3 linked regions of the Drosophila melanogaster genome follow. The protein of the gene in region 3 interacts with the protein of the main gene of each other region in a pairwise test. Each region holds a gene or a part of one and is shown on either strand. Other genes may lie near its edges.

Region 1 (5,188 bases), on a different chromosome or scaffold from region 3:
TGTAAGTCGTTGCCATTTCTCTTGCAACATGTGGCACAGCGGGAGGTGTAATACTTGCGGCTAATTTCGAGTTTGTTGCTCTAAGCCCGAAGCATTTCGTATCTGGCTTCCTGGCCCTATGCTCAGCTCACACAAAACTGATGGCCACAGGATAAAACGGGGGCCCAAACAAAACCGCACACAAGCTACCAGCGGTTTACTTGCCCCTCAGCAATTGCTGTTCGAAAAAAAGTGGCACTGGATAAAAAGCATGTTGAACATTCTGTTCTGGCCAAAAACTGCGGGAGCTGCAGTTCAAGAAATACAGCCACTACTTGACTGGAGTTCAGTTAAAGCACACTTCGTGTTTACTATCAATAACTTATTTTATTTACTTTTAAAGTGCTTCTGCACACGTACGTTGGCTTAATCTTTATTTGTGGCTTATTTGCCTGGCTAGCGTGAGCTTTACATTGGCTTAGTTTAAACCTGCTTACCTTGTTATGTGATAAATCTTTTTTGCCAAAACTTTATCTTTACCGGTTTAAATGATAAAGAAGAAATGTTATGTAAAATGGAAAAAAAATATACAATATTTATTAATTAAGAGAATGAAATATTTCATAATTTTTATAAACTTTAATATATAAAACCGATATAAATTTTCAGTGATAGCAGCCACATATCGGGTATCACAGACTCGGGACTCGTTGGAGCATTTATTTTTTATAATTCACTTGAGCCTTGTTAAGACCGCTGGTAGAGCATGGCTAGCATGTGTGTGTTTATGGGCCACCACCTCATCATCAACTCGTGTCCGTTTCCGTGCCCCACACTTCTCGCACCACTTGCAACCACTTGAATTTGCTGCGGTTGTTGCTGCTGTTCGTATTTGCCATGCCATTTGCTGGAGAAATTTTTCTTGATTGCCTCGCCCCCAGCAGTTTGCTTGTTTTTCGCTTATGCGTCGTCATCTTTCCACATCCTTTTACCATTTTCCACGGGTTTTCCCTTTTCCGTATTTATTTTTTACTCTGCTTTTTGTTCTCCTGGCAGACAGTGATTTTGACATTTCACGCGCATTTGTTTGTTATGCTTCTCTGGCCAGCAGCATTGACAGCGCGGGAAAGGTCAACATTTCCCTTTATTTTTTTTTTTTTTGCATAAGTGCGTAAGGCCATGTATTCATAGAAATCGTAGTGGGCCATAATAAAAATAAGGACTGTGGTAGTGGCACGCAGGCTCATTAACATTTGCGAGGCACGTGGCGGGAATGACGCTAACTCAGTTGCTCCCCAGCGTCGCATTCGGCTTAGCCAAATTGATTTTCCGTCCTGCCAACAAAACAATCTGGCACAGCGAGAGAAAAACATAACAATATCAGCATCAGTCACATAACCATTGCCAGTTTTGCATAGCCTTTTCTGTTCATAAGCCAAGGGTTTTATGATCACCAGTTATCCGAATTTCGGCCAATTCGATTGCTCATTTTTATGTGGAAAATATTTATGAATCGATACGTTTATAAAATATAAAGCACATTTATAAATGCAATATCTTTATCTGAGGAACGGAGTCTTTTCTTTTCCGTTTCTAACTCATAAAAACTTAGGGCTTACTTTTTGCAAGGAATACATATTTATTTATGCACAGAATTTTTCTCTGTATTCCCAAAAGGGGAAATAAACATCAGACCAACACAGAATTCCACTCAAAACAATTATGAATGAATGGCCAGAAGAGCGCTCAAACCAGTTAACAGAGCAGCTGTTGCTGTCGAGTCTATGTTAACGCTTTCACTTGGCCAACAGCCGCAGCTTCTGGCAAGTATTCTGGCTTTTAGTCCCACAACAGACGTCGAGGCGAGAACACGCGGCCCAAAAGACGTGCGCATGTCAAGTTGCGAGCTGCGTTTGGTTTTCGATTCGAGCCACATGGCGTATACGCGATACGGTCTGTGCCACTGCCTGCATTGAGTACTGAGTCAATAATGGTCGGTGGTCAGTGCTGCGGCTTTAGTGCGTGCTGAGCTGAGTAGCAGATAATGTGTCAATAATTGAACTGGACAATCGGCATTGCTCGATCCAGTATGTGAATAGCCGACACTCAACTGGAAAGGAACTTCGATGTAAGCATAAATAGCACCCAGAAACTTTAAGTGTTGGTGTAGTAAAAGTGTGAACTTAAAGCATGTACCACTTTAACATGTCTGAAACATGCGTAGGAAACACAAGTTAACAATATTTTCTGCTTTCGACTAAGATAAAGAATTAGTCTTGTTGTTTAACACCAAAATCTGCTTTTATTTAAGAAAAAAAAACGACATCAGTCAAAGAGACAATAATTAAATTTCGAGACACAAAGGCCCCTTATTTCACTTAACCCAATCAATTAGATCAAATAAAATATCAATACAAAATAGATTAAAAGAGGGCGCAGCACCGAAGCAAGTCGAATAAATAAATGCAAATAAAATAAGTTCAAATCGGATCAGCAGAGTGACGTATTTAAATTTCACCAGGGGCAAATCGAGCCGCCACGTAGTTCGACATTCGAGCCGTCATAAGCCGGAATTCGGAGGGGATTGCATTAGGGAAGTTCTTACTTTCTGGTGCCGCTCGAATTTCCCCAGGGCACTTGGGATGCACGTGAGCTCTGTGCCGATGGATTTTCCATTCCGCATTCGCCCCGTTTTCCCGCTCCGATACACATTTTTTTGCGACGTTTGTCAACACCATTTGGCCTCTATTTGATTTGCATATTGCTACCTGTCTGGTTTTCCGAGAAGCCTGTGAACGTGCGTGAAAAGTAAACAGGGGATAGGATGGGCGAAACAAAAGGGACGGCAAACGTGATAAAATAGGTGGAAAAATAGCGGATAAAAAATGAAAACATTTGCCGGAAAACAAAGAAAATTATCTGACCAGATGCCCGGGCTGTCCGTTCTCTCTTCCCCGGGGGAAGAGTAAAGTTGTAATAAAAAATAAAAATAAAACCCGGGGGTCGCCAGTGACAAGTGACAGGTTGCTTGTTTGCCGGGCCGAATAATGTGGTCAGGTCCGTCTGATATGGCCGCCTAATTTGGGAGACGCTTTTATTGTTTGCCCACGGACATGGCGTCATTATCTGCTGGCATTTTTGTGCGCTCCCCATTTGTTTACACGCACTTTTAACGTGTTTATTCGGCCACAACGCAAACTAATTGAAACACACCGGGCGTATACTTATTGTAATGCCCGTGGGCGTGTCACGTTCCACGTGCAATCAGTGGCCGCCTTGAAATCCACTCGTCTGCAATTGCAGTGCACGCTGCACCCTATCACGCCCCCCATTTGCTCTTTGAGGCTTTCACTCGCAGGACCCACTGTCATTTGGCCCTCAATGCCAGCAGCTGAAAGCTGAAACAACAGCTCACTGCTTCCACTATCCGTAGTTCTCGCCCTCGTCCTCATCCTCGTCCTCATCCTCGTCCTCATCCTCGTCCTCGTCATCATCATCATCGCCATCCGCCGTAGTCGCGGGTACGACATATTCGCTCAGCGGTTCACGCCGAGGTTGAGGTTGAGCCGAGCCAAGTGAGTAAGTGAGTGAGTGAGTGCCAGGAGCGGCAACTTGTTTACCTGCCTGTGTTTTAATGAAATGCAAATGCAAACACAGCCGTGAAGCACCATGGGCTCCATAGGCTCAAAGTGGGCCAAAAATAGGTGAAGGATTAACAGCTAGCGGAATCCATTACCGACTCTGTATTTTTGATATTTTATTAACACCTACACAAAATTACATTGAAAACAATTTCTTTTAGAGACCACAATTCAAAAATAAGTATAAACGCAACGAGATAAGCTTGAATATTTAAAAGCAAAGGCAATTCATTATTAAATAGTTTTGAGTTTTATTTGCATACAACCTTGCGGATTTTCATTTAAGTTAAAAACACAGAGCACACACATCAATTTAAGTGGCGGATGTTGTGATTGGTTAGCTGTATAAATTTGAAACAGCAGTGTTTGTTTTCATAAGCCCGCTCGATGGCTTCGCAAGATTGATTGCATCCAGAGAATAGATCGAAATAGACCTCCGAATGTGAACGTAAACACGCCACAGTGCCCACCTGTATCCGCCAGGTAATTTTTCCTGGCCCTCTGCAATGGCACTTAGCGGTAATGGGGTTACTGCCAAGGAGCCGCACTCGCTTGAGAATGTCCCTGATTTTGTACGCAAACACTTCAATTTCCGTGACAGATGACAATTTGCCACAATTGCACATTGCAGTGCAATTAGATTTAGTAAATTTTTAACTCCCATTTGGCCGGCATTAGATTCGTATGTAACACAATTTCATTCATGCCAGTTGGTATTGGCCATCTTGTCCTGCATTCGCATAAATAAATTGGCAAAAGATTCCTTTACGGCCAAGTGGGATGATCTTTAGCCAGCAGCTGGGTCTTAAGTTCACATTGGCACCGGGGTCGTAAAAGCGGATCTAAGCGCCATTTCAAAATTGCCTGGGATTGACCGCCATCGCGCTGGATTTTGACTTAAAGTGCCATTCGGATATGCATTAAATTTATGGCAATACATTAAACTAAATACTCCTCATCGAAGCTATCAAAGGTGCCGCAGCGGAAATTGAACGTGACAAACTTATGAAAAGCGCTAAAACATGTTGGCCTAAGCGGCTTTTTATGACAGATACTCAATTTCCTAATGGCACCGGTGGACGCAACCGAGGTTGGTAAAAAAAGCAACCAGATTTGTATCTAAATATTGGCATGCCATGCTCGACAAGTTTAAAGTTTTAATTAAACAAGTACGACGAGGCTAATTACTGCATTATGATAAACAAAACAGAAAGAGCACTTTAGACTTTCAGCTAACTTTGTAATAATGTCCAGGATATTAAGCTAGAGATAAATATTATTGTGCACTTAAAGTTAAATACACATTAAAGTTACTTGCGCATTGAGTTTTAAGCCCAAGTCAAGTCAAACCGTCAAGGATAACGTCAAATACTTGTGTCCTTAAGCCGAACTGGGAGAGTTCGAAACTTTTCCAATTCACTTAGTTCATTAACTTGATTCATCGGCAAGTGAGTTGCCCGAACTCCACAAATGGTAATCAACTGGCATTGATTGCTCATTTTTAGCAGGTTCTGGTCCTGTGCCAAAAACCCGGATCTCGCTTAAAGCTTTGGATTGCAATCCAGCTA
Region 2 (6,929 bases), on a different chromosome or scaffold from region 3:
CGGACTCGAGCGATGAGCCAAGGTTGGCCAGGCGTGGCAATTGGCAGTCCAGTGGAGCAGGCCGCTCATCGTTGGCACCGCAACGGAACAGGGACATGCTGGACACCCTGCCCAGCGACACCGACGATGTGGAGCAATTGGGCCTGGATGGTGCACCCATCGATGAGAATGCCCGTGCCCAGTTACGAGCTGGCGATTTCCAGCAGCTGGCCCAGTTTCCCAGCCTCGGTGGCGGCCACTTCACCTTTGGGTCAGAGCGCGAATGGGCCAACGTGGCCGAGGGCCAGACCAAGCTACACACCAAGGCTGCCAGTGCTTACTTCACCCTGAACCTCACCCGCCTAAATGTGGGTCTGCAAACGATTCCGTTATACAAGCGTATGGATTATCCGGCGTCTTTGTTCACCCGCGCTCAGATTGCCGCCCAAGAGAAGGCCGCCGAACGGGCTGAGGCAGTTTACCAGCAGTGCATTCTGAAGGACGCCAATGGGGGCGCCAAGTCGCGAGCTCCCTCTGCTAAGTCCAATAAGGACGTTGCCCCTGCAGCGGCGGAAAAACCAATTGCTGCCTCAGCAGCTGAACCTGATGAACTTGACGAGCTATTGGCCATGACCGATACGCAACTGGATATAGGCTCTGGAACCATTACGATGCCAATGCCTATGGTGCAGCCGGCCACACCCTCATCGGCAGCAAGCAAAAACGGTGTGGAGGAATGGCTGGATTCCGTTTTGGATGAATAGTTACATAGTTCAGGAGGACTATTACCAGAGCTTTTTACGCTTACACGAAATATTCAAATCACTAAGTGCTTGCATTTTTAGAAGTAGCATCATTAAAATTGCAAAATCTAGAGTTTTCCTCGTAACTTTATAGTTAAAGCTAGAGCCTTTTTATTGTGTATAATAAAATCGTTGATTGCATATATATACGATGCGATTGTTTCTTGAAATAAGTTTCAAAGGTTAGGTTAAGTTATTGAAGATTTCAATTCTCTTCTCATCAAAGTATCTGAATTTATAACAGATTTCTTTGTTTCCGTTCGCTATTACTTACATTGTGGTCCACTTTTGCCTTGGTAACACTTAACCAAATGGCCATGCAAGAGCTGCATAAGCTCACATATGGACTCCAAAAGCACCAGGCGCTCATGCAGATGCCCCAAATCGTTGTTCTCCACCATCAGCGGACGCAGCTCATCAACGATCGCGATTAGCCAGCGAACTAATATCGAACAATCGTCCCTGGCCAGTTTCATATAATCCTCCGGCACATCGGTCTCCTGGCACAGTTGCTGGCCCTGGGCATTGAATGGTCCGATCAGCAGGATGCTGGATATCAAACGGACCACCAGGTGCAGGGAATGCAAATAGGATATTACATAAATATGCGGCTTCACCACGGCAACGACGAGCAGCAGTGTGTTAGCCGGACGCAATCGGTGCAAGTCCAGGCCCAAGTCCGACATATGATCCAACATGGCCCAGAGCAGACAGTTAGCCACAACGCTGGCCATTGTGCACAGCGGACTGGCCACGCGGCAGCCGAGGATCAGGTTGAGCATTGTGCTCGAACTCTGGATATCCAAGAGACCCAGGACATGGACGCATACCTGGTGGATCTGTTGGGCAAAGAAAGGGAAGGATCAAAAAATATATATTTCAAACATATATATGCTTACTCACATGGCTTTCCTCGGAGCATGCCATATAATTGAAGCACTTTTGCAGGAAAAGAGTTCTTTTCACCTGGGTGGCCGACGTGTCCTCATGATGGAGTAGATAAACCATCAAACCGCATACATACACCGCAGCCAGTTTATCTGCTCCGAATTGGATCCCCTCCTGGTTGAGCAGTTCATCAAAACCAGATATAATCTAACGGAACATGTGAATAAATTAGATAATGTGATTATGATATGAATATGGATCACCTCCAGAATATTGCCGGTGGCATAAATAAAGTAGCATTGTTCCCGAATCGCCGATCGACTCATAGTCTGACGCAGCTCTTCCAAACTGAATCCCTGGGGTCGCACCATGTGGCTCATGTTGTATTCTGCCATTTTATCTGAGGAAAAAGCTGGAAAAAGGGAGTTATGCATTACTTTTGAACAGGGAAAAGGCGCCTTCAAGGATTTGCTGCTGCTTCACCTTCTCCTCCTCCTTCTACAAATTAGTGACTGAAAGATATGATGTGTGCAAATAGCCAACGCTATTTTAATGAGCTCCACAACATTTTGACATGTTTTTCAAACACACTTGGCTGCCATCTTGGCCAAGCCGAGTACAGTGAAATCAGCAAGTGGGTACTTTTAATTGAAAAGTCTAGGAATTAACTATGAAGCTTTTGATTTGAATTCATGAACCTTGAACCTATGTACATCTTCCATGATTTAAAATTAATTTTTTGTAATAATATATTAAAATATTATAATTATATAGTTATGTTCATTTTTAGACAAAATACACTTTTGTGTTGAACTTCTAGTTGAATCGCATAAAATTGAAGGACTTAGAGGAGTCGCTGCTATCGGACGCTTACTGTAGTTATGATTTTTCCTGCCTGTGTGTGTGCCCGCCTTTGTTTGTGTGTATTTGTGCTTGTCCTTGCACTGCTTTCGAAAAGGCTGGCAAAATGCAAATGCACGCGCGATGTGCGCATTTTAGCATAAAAGTCACCTGGCCTCCGTTTCCGACTCCCACTTTTCCACCTGCCACGCCCATCGCCGCTTCAAGTTTCTTGCACACTTGGCGAATATCTGCTCATTATGCATTCATATTTCATATTTCGCAATTACTTGCTTTCACACACACACACACGCACGCAAACGAACTGGCGGTAAAAAGCGCAAGAGGTGCAAGCAAGATGGCCATAACAGCAGGAAACCGTTAAGTTTCTGTGTGTGTGTGTGTGTTTGTGCGTCCTTTGCTTGGTCTTTTCTTTCTGCTCTTCTGCTTTTTTATCGCCCCCTTTATTTTTTTGGGGCATTTTTTGCACAGATTCCTATTGAAATTTCCATATTCACATTTTAATTATGCGTCGGCATGAAAAGATTAACAACTTTTTTGCAATCTCTCTGTGTGTGTGTGTGTGTGTGTTATGCTCTCCTTTTTGTTTTTAATTATGCACATGTATTTGTTGATCAAATTTAAATGGCAAAGGGGTAGGCAACATATAACCCTCTCTTTCTGAACTGCTTGCAAACATAACCTCAATTTAGCTGCCACTGCTTGCGAAGCGATTGTATGCTAATCAACTGGGAACATCTATAGCATAATATGATCTATTATATCAGCGTCCAGCTAAAAATCTACGTCAAGTGTAAAAACCCAAGAATCCCCCTCTATTAAACGCAACAAAAGTGCTCAATTAGCGAGGGTTGTTCAGCAAGTTGAACGGGAAACGCAGACCAGGCCAATTACAGTCAAACATCCGTAAGTGGAAAAGATGCTTACATTTTTATTTTACTACAAGATTGAAAAGATGTTTACATTTTCCATTTGAGTATTTTTGCTCATCATAAGAAAAATTTTACTGTAGTTATTTATCTTACTTAAAAAAAAAAATGACAAGACTGGTATTATTATTTATGGAACCATCATTTGGAGGTTCAACTGTGCTAATAGATACTAACAATCATATCCGGTTCCCGTCGGATGGCGATGATAATAATAATCAAGATGGTGATGACAAGTGGCAAGTAGCTACCCTTTAATTTTTGAGGGTGGACCGAACTGATGAGCCGCTTGTGTGCGCTGTTTGTTGTAACCAATCTGTGCATTTTACGCCTAATTTAAGGCAAATTGTCCACCCCACTTGTCTCAACACTTTTGCAACCGAAAACCCTCCCCCATCCAACTAACTTTTTCATTTTTCGGTCTTCGAGGCCGCGGGGCCTGACAAAAGCCAACAGATTTTCATGTCATTATTTACTGATTTGTGGCATTTGAAAGGGAATCGGTTTTCGGGCTTAGGATTTGCGTTCTGTAACCACCCAGCGAACTTTTTGTTTACTAATGAAGTTGTTGTTTACACAATTGGAAAGTATGATGTATGTATACAAATGATAGCCACAGTGCAAGTGGAATCCAAACCGTTCCACCCACCAATTATCACGAAATGTCATCTGAGAATTAGCCACTTTTGCAAGACGCGACATAAGAAATCGAATAGACCCTTGCAAAGAAAATAAGTCTAATATTTCTGTCGGCCCTGATGATACTAAGCGAATTTCTTTCGGTAAGGTAAACATATTGATTTTCTATTAATTATATGCGTTGTGTAACTAGAAACAGTTTTAAAGAATTTGCAAGATGGGGGTAATGAAGAAAAAGTGCCCAAGTAATAAAGAATTTCATGTTTTACAGAGTTTCCTGTATGTATGTATATGTAAGTGCTGTGGCCAACTTTAACCTTTATTTAAACAGCTTAGGACTATTTTTGACCTTAAGATCAATATGCTCTAATAACTATATCATTAGCAATAAAAAAAAGATATACATAAATTTCCAAATATATAGATATAGATAGTTCTAGGAGCTTAGGAGCGTGAAAGAGAGTGATGACCTGGAAATTGCACCAAAGAAAAACTCAAAAAAGAAAGCTTTGGGATCTTTTTGATCAGTGCCAGAAGTTCAAGCGAATCCTTGAGATCAATATGCTCCTGGTGGGCACAAGCGAGAATGCTTTGAGATTCACTATATCATTAGCAATCAAACGAAAAGATACAAAAATTCTAAAATATCTAGATGCAGTTCGAGGAGCTCAGGAGTCTCATAAAGTTCATCCCCATGGATGGGGATCTCAAAGTTTATATACAAAAGGGGCAGGAATCGTAATGAATGTAATTAAAACTGGACATACCTGTACGTTTTGTATGAAATGTTTAGCTTGGCGGAAGAATACTTCACTTGTACAATGAAATTACTTCTCACTTCCTCGTCAATTATTAGCAAATTATCAAGGAGCTCACTAATATTTCAATGGGTATCTTTTTTATTCCGCTGACCACTATTCGCTTTTGCAACAAATTGCAACTGATCGATGGAAAGCCATAGTCAGTGGCTTTCCCTTAGCCATGGACTCTTAGCCAGAGGCAACCTGTATGGCTCAGTCGGGGTTCGAGGCTGAGACTGTGAGACGATTCGATTCGATTCGATCCGATTCGATTCAATCCACAGGTTCGATGGCCGCACAATGGGACACAATGCGGCAATTAGGCATAAAGATGCCAGATTTGAAATAAGCAAGTGTGGCACGGCCCGCGGCACAAACACAATTTCGGACGATTTTCCAAGCGGATAATGACAAACATTTTTAATCACAAAAACGAGACGAGAAACCACCACCGCCAATTGCAGTGGACGGGGGAAAACACAAATTTTCACACAATATGGCAAACATCTCGCAGCCATCCTCCAACCGGAAGTCAAGTGTGTCGAGTCCTTTTGCCCTGCCCATCCATGATGACATAATCGCCCCTCAACACAATCATTATGTCGAGAATTGCTGTTGCGGTTTCTCCGAACTTCACTTCTATTTTTTTTCCTTTATTTTTATATACATGCATATATATATATTTTTGTTTCTGCCCCGCGGATGGGCCACAGCAGGCTGGAATTTAAATTGAAATTGGTATATAATGGCAGGGAGTAACTGACAGTTCCTCCCCTGTGAGTAAAGTGAGTACATTCATGGCCAAAGTCAAGTGCCTTCTGTGGTAACTTTATTATTTTACAATACTTATGCGGCCCAAAACAATCATTACTTTAACAAGTCCAATTTGTTTAGATCTCAAGAATATTTATGTTGTATTTCTGACACCTTGCTATTTATTTACTTATTTATATATATATATATAATATAATTTTATGTTACGTGGGCTGCTTACCATTTTAAATGTATGAAGTAACAGAGGCAACAAATGTAAGATGGAAAGATGGAATTTGGAATTTGGAAATATAATTTAGATTTAGATTTGCTAATAGTTTTGGCTAGTCTTGAAGTTCTCGCGCCTCTTTAGTCGGCCAAACCCAAATTCATAATCACAGGCAAAAGTGCGCAGAAAAGTATGCTACACTTTTGGCACTAGCATTTTCTGTTGTTTTTTTTTCAAAGCTGCAAATTGTACGAACTCTTTAGTTTCGTAGTTTTCAGCCTGAATGCGAGCAAAAGCCGAAAAACTTTTCCCCACTCTCCCGGCTTTATTCCTTTTTTTTTTTAGTTGCAAAGTTCTCCAACGCCGAGAGCTTAATGCAATTAATAACTCATTAAATAAATACAAATCAAATTGAATGATGGCCAGCTCAAAGGAGAAGGGCTGGTGGAGCAGGAGGTGCCTTTGTGCTCAAAGGATGGCTGCGTAAAATGTACCAATTAAAAATGCCATTCAAATCTCAATGGCTGCGCAAATGAACCGCATGAATGTGAGAATTTGCGGTATCAAAAAAAAAAAAAAAAAACGCGAAGGAAACCGGTGAAAGAATCATCCATCATCTATCTGTATCTGCAAGTGGCTGGCATGATGGGGGTTAGCAGATGCATTTTATTCATTAGATTACATTCACATTTCATAGACGATTTCATGGCAACGTTAACTTGCTTGCCATCCCATTCGCCTTTGCCTTTCATTCGCATTTCAGCCATTTTTCCCGCATTTTTTCGCATTGCCCGCCTCGCTTCTTTGGCTTTTCCGTTTTGTTTCCGGTGGCTCCCATCAAGTATCTTTTTAATTAGCGTTCTGTGCCGCTCTGCACCACTTGAAAACTACTACCCGTTCCACGTCGTCTGCCCCTATATCATCATGCCATATCCTCGTTGGGTTGGCTTGGGTTGGGTTGGCGTTAGCTGGTGTCCTATGGTATGGCATACACTATGGCATGGTTATACTATATCCATCTAGACCTCTCTCTCGCTCGTTAACTCAC
Region 3 (5,328 bases):
CCTTAATATCCCGCTTGCCCGATCGGTTGGAGTTCAGGCTCTCGCCAGCGGGCGAACCCGTGTCCATGCCCTTTGGCAATACGTTCTCTTCGGCATTCGCCATTCCGTTCGCGGACATGGGTTTGGCGTTGGGCGGAATGCCGTTGCCAGCTCCTCCGGCATTATCCGAGGCATTATCACCCGCCTCGCTGTTATTCTGCTTAACGGCCATTTCGCGTTTCAATCGCTTGGCGTGGGCGTGGACGTGAGTGGCACAAAGGCTTGCGGACCACAGGGCCGACTGGAACTTCCAGTTGCCGATGGGCGGAGGCGTGGGCTTGCCTAGCGCCCGAACACAGCGGCTTTTTCGTTGCCTGCGACTCTGAGCGAGGAGTCTGAGCCGCGTGTCCTTGAACCGCGCTCCGTTACGTGTCGTCGTTACGATTTGACTGCGACCTTTCAACGGGTCTCGAGTGCGCCTCGATCCCTGCCCGATCCTGGCCAGAAACTCCCGCCACAAGCGCTTTAGAACAGAGTCCTAGACGAGTGTGGTGCACGGTAGGGTCGGTGGCCCGTGCCACATCTAAGGCGCCCCTTTTTTCGGATTACCCTGCTCGGCTTTAGCTTCGATTGCTTGCTCACACGTCGCCCGTTCGACTTAATAACCCGAATAGATTTGATTCGCCCTAAAAACTACAATTTTGACTGTTTTAAAACGAATTCTTTGTGATATTTTTCGGATTTGTTAATGTTGTCTACTGAGTCAGTGAAAGCGTTATCGACACGTTCAGACTGAATGACGGGCAGGGCGACTCTGCACGACAAGTCGGGGTGGGTGAGAATGAGGTGGCACAAAATTTGTAATTGCATTTATATGGTGAGTAATACATACTAAACGAAATAATAGTATTTTGATTTATGTTGTTATATTTAGCCCATAAAATAGTAAGTTAGGTCTTACAAACAGCGCTACCAGATCCAGTCAAAATTGAGGAAGCCTGAACGTCTATAGGCCTCCCAAAATGGCGTTGCCATGAAAAATGACAGCTGTTCGCTGCGAATGGCTATTTATGTTTGTTTTGACTCGGCTTTCGAATATATCGCAAAATATATACAGGAAACATTTATATTCACAAAAATCTGTACGATGCACCCAGGGCAAATTGAGGTCAACGAGATCAATGGCTATTGGACATTTCTGCTGAGCGTAAGATACTCGCCTATATACAATCAAAAATCAAGAATCCGGCAAGTTGTCACTATTTTTGCAGATCGATTGGAAGGATCCCTGGCTTATTGGCCTTATTTTGGCGCATATCTTAACCACCACCACTGCGCTGCTCAGCCGGAACAGCTCCAACTTCCAGGTTTTCCTCTTCCTAGTACTGTGTACGTGGACTTGGCGGCTTCCTTGACTTACCCGATAAATGACTCTGATTTTTGCATGTGCTTCATCTTCCTCAGTGCTGGCAGTCTACTTCACCGAAAGCATCAATGAGTTCGCTGCTAACAACTGGAGTTCCTTTTCCAGACAACAATACTTCGATAGCAACGGCCTGTTTATCTCGACAGTTTTCTCAATACCTATTTTGCTTAATTGCATGCTTTTGATTGTAAGTTATAGTGTTTCCACTGCATGAAGTGTGTATTTATCTTTGCTTATTTGCAGGGCACTTGGCTCTACAACTCCACGCAGCTGATGGTGACTCTAAAAACAGCGCAGCTCAAGGAGCGAGCTCGCAAGGAACGCCAGACTAAGGCGGATTCGGAATCCATAGCACATAAAAAGGCAGAGTAGAACTTACGCCTGTATTACATGCAGTTAAAAGCACAAGTAGAGCTGTGAAATTATATGTTATGCTTTAAATGGATTTTCCTGTCATCTAGATGTAGTTTGCTGCACAGCTCTCGTCTTTAAAATAAATTTAATTTAGTATAATCAAACTTATAGAATTTGTAAATTTAGGCTATTTTTACATCCTGTTTTACTTAGCGAAGTTACAAACCTAACATGCCCTTCATATTAAGCAAAAAATCACACCAGTTACCGTTGCCACCTTGGTAAAGCAGTTTTTACTGCCACCTAAAATTTTCTATATATATCACGTAATATGAACTATTTTGATATTTTTGACGAAATTAACATTATAGATCCAATCAGCTTATTGCCTGTATCAATTTCTGATCTGTGTGCCAAGACTGTAATTTCAAATTAGAAGCTCGTTGGACCTGTGTCATTTTTTAGTACGAATTCAATTGGGAGCCCTTCGTCGTCTGGTAACACTGTCCAACGATTTTGTTGTTGCTGGCTTGTGGGTGTCGAAGCAGTGTCGCGGCGCAATGTTGGAAGTGGTTTTTGGGTAAACAAAATCCGTTGATAAGATATTCGCACGGAGCTAATCGCAAATCGCGCTGCGTATTTACCGTTGGCAAGCCAGAAAAAAGTTTTGCATAGCATTGCGGTTTAAAGCCAGGCTCAAAATTCCTGCGAGCTCGCTTGTGTGTGTGCGTTTTTGCCGTCGGTGTGTATGTGTTTTGAGCCCATAAGCGTAGCCCGAAAAAAAGAAGTTTTTCTGTTACCATATTTTTTACCAAAGGCCAAAAGGGCGCAGCATCTTCGCTCTCTATCTCGGCGCTGCATCTTGCTCTCTCGTTCGCTAACGCGAGTTTGGCAACTCCGTTTACCGTTCATCGTTTATTGTGTGTAAACAGCAGGTGAAAATAAAACGCGATAAGTGCAGAGAAACAGGAGAAGGAGGAGAAAGAGCAGCAAGAAGAAGCAGCAACTCCGCGCAGCCCAACAAAAAGTGACGTATTAAAAAAGGTTGCTAATTACAAAAGGTAAACAACAAATAATGTGCGGATTATATTACCAAATTCCCGGGCATAAACAATACCAATAAAATGTTGCTAAGATTGCCCTTCCACCCCCCTCACTTACCCACTGAAATGCGTAGTAGATTTCCGCGATAGGAAAACTCGGATGAGTGACGCGTTGGCGACGCAGCGCACAGTGTTCATTCATAAAAAGTGTCTGCCCCCCTGCGCCCACTCCCAAAACACTCCCCCCTCCCCTCCACACTTTGAACCAAGCCTGTTTGTGGTTGCGCCTGGAATTTAGTTTACAACTAAATATGTTTGCGGGCAGCTAGGAGGAAAGTTCGGATTTGGTTGTTTTTGCTATGTGGGAAACCATAGTTAAACTATTTGCATTCCGTTGGAAAGTCTAGTGGTTCACGCCACGCCCCATGTTCGCTCGTTCACGAAATTATGAAATTGTGTAAATTATATTAAAAAGCTTAACGGGTATATTGATATCTCCTCTATAATACTTCATACAAGATAAGTTTAAGGAACTGAAATGTTTGAAGTTTTAATGAATTTCCTTAACTATTGCGTCTGGTTGACATCCAAGTTCGCATAGTTGAAAAATTCCATATCAAACTGAGCCGCATGCCTTAATAACTAGACCTTTTGCTCATTGAGATTAGATCACATACCGCCATATGGCAGTCGGTGAAATGATTAGCTCAGCGAATAATTAAGCGTCGTGCGAATGAAAAGTCACACACACACACACTGCAACTTGGTGTTTAGATTAGAGCATTTTGTATCTTAGCCCACCTTTGGCAATCGGTGATATCGAATAGCAGGAAAAACAATAATACGGAATTTATGGTCAGCGTGTCGCCAAAATGCCAAAGTCAAGCGAAATAAATACATAGAAATAATGAAAGAAAAAAAACAATCAAAATAACTCGGTGACATCATTTTGACTAATCGCCAATTTTAGCATTTGAAAAACGGCGGCTGCTCGCCCGGCCCACCAACAAGCGCGCGAAGGTGCGAAGGAGAGAGTCCACCAGGGAGGGGGCTGCGAGCGAGTGCGGGAGTGGGAGCGAGAATGAGAGGGGGAACACTCGTGGCAGGTGCGCCAAGCCGAAGTTCAAAACGAAGCTCAAACCCGAATGCCAAGCGGCATTCCGAACCACCTACAAGTCGGCAAGTAAAATGGATCGAATGCTCTTGCGATATCAGCGAGTTTCACTTTCGAGCCCCTCATCTATACACGAATACTATCTGCAATCGGAACAATCACTAGATAATCCCACGATCCAACATTAAGCGCATTGCTTTTATCACAGGTATTAAATCAAAGCCATGCATTTGGAAAAGTGCGCTTGCCATTTGCCAAATTTAAGTGGCTTTAATTGGCTGGTTTTTACGACTCATTGGCATTATGACGATCTTTAAATTTTACGATTAAATGCATAAATCAGGTGTTGAAGTGTAGTGCAAGTGGTTGCTACATATACCCCTACATAAATAGAATCACTCCAGAAAAATATGGCATTCAAGTTGAGTTAACTACTGGCTTGTATTGTAAGCTAAGAAATTGTTAAGTGGTAGCTATTCTCAAAAGCTTGCGCACAGGGGTGCCTTTCTTTAACTCATTATTATATCCATTTATATCCATTACGATCAAATATTCGTTATATATGGAAAATTGCCTAGCCTACCGTGACTCTATTGCCTGCCTGTTGATATTTCCCCCGCGGCAACTTCGATCCGATGCAATTAACTCGAACATATTGTGGCTCATTACGAGGGGCATTCCAATCTGAAGACGAAGCGACTCGATCTAGTTCACAGATACAGAGCTGCATACACGCATCCCACTGGTTATTTCGGTTAATTTTGATGTGTGCTGCTAAGAGCCGAGAGTGCAGAGGACTAGGCACCACTGCTCCACATCCCCAGATATTTCCGACACTACGTGCGCTGCGATGCGACGTGTCGACCGGGTGGGTGGAAATTTGGAAATGTTGTGAAAAGCTAAATGAGGCGTGACACGAAAAAGAAGGCAGAGGGGAAAAAAGAGCAAAGCGACAAACACGCAGAGCAGCATGGAAAAAAAAAGAAAAAAACAAACAAACAAACAGAGCTGAGTGCGGCCACCCACAACATGACAGCCGCCACAACAATGGCCATAGTAGCGTCGAGGAGCAGAACGAGAACGTGGTGCCCACCAAATCTAGCCACGGAGTAATTTCGGCCTAGAAAACAAAGAAAACGAAGAAAACTGCCCAGTTGTCTGCGGAAAAGACAAAGGAAGAATGGAAAACCAAGAGAGCGGAATGAAAAAGGGGGACCAATTCCGCACAAGGCGCACAATTAACCCTTTCTTTGAAGTCAGCGGCGAATGTATCCACTGTCCACTTTCCACTGGGCTTTAATTAGTTTATGGAACAAGCGTCCCGGCTCGGCTAACTGCAATAAAATTAATCGTTTATGCTGTAATCGCATTTAGCGGCGCCGACCTCCTTTCCACTCCTCTCCTCCCTACTC

What was found. Proteins that work in one complex are often made in the same cells at the same time.
Region 1: the proteins of Dyb (region 3) and dcma interact in a two-hybrid assay, tested with the Drosophila melanogaster proteins (one large-scale study listed by BioGRID).
Region 2: the proteins of Dyb (region 3) and CG15728 interact in a two-hybrid assay, tested with the Drosophila melanogaster proteins (one large-scale study listed by BioGRID).

Annotation. Positions count from the first base shown.
Region 1 is NT_033779.5:4,692,885-4,698,072, forward strand, and holds the start of dcma (decima), read left to right. Parts: upstream 1-1,836; 5' UTR 1,837-2,107; intron 2,108-5,188.
Region 2 is NC_004354.4:12,622,369-12,629,297, reverse strand, and holds CG15728 (uncharacterized protein), read right to left. Parts: upstream 5,007-6,929; 5' UTR 4,867-5,006; intron 2,206-4,866; exon of another isoform or gene 2,154-2,205; intron 2,083-2,153; 5' UTR 2,066-2,082; coding exon 1,934-2,065; intron 1,878-1,933; coding exon 1,686-1,877; intron 1,622-1,685; coding exon 1,049-1,621; 3' UTR 853-1,048; downstream 1-852. Other genes in the region: Aven (apoptosis and caspase activation inhibitor), read left to right, coding at 1-743.
Region 3 is NT_033778.4:12,435,071-12,440,398, forward strand, and holds the start of Dyb (dystrobrevin), read left to right. Parts: upstream 1-2,274; 5' UTR 2,275-2,319; coding exon of another isoform or gene 2,320-2,339; 5' UTR 2,340-2,820; intron 2,821-5,328. Other genes in the region: DUBAI (deubiquitinating apoptotic inhibitor), read right to left, coding at 1-211; Tmem18 (transmembrane protein 18), read left to right, coding at 1,127-1,186, 1,251-1,368, 1,444-1,592, 1,649-1,777.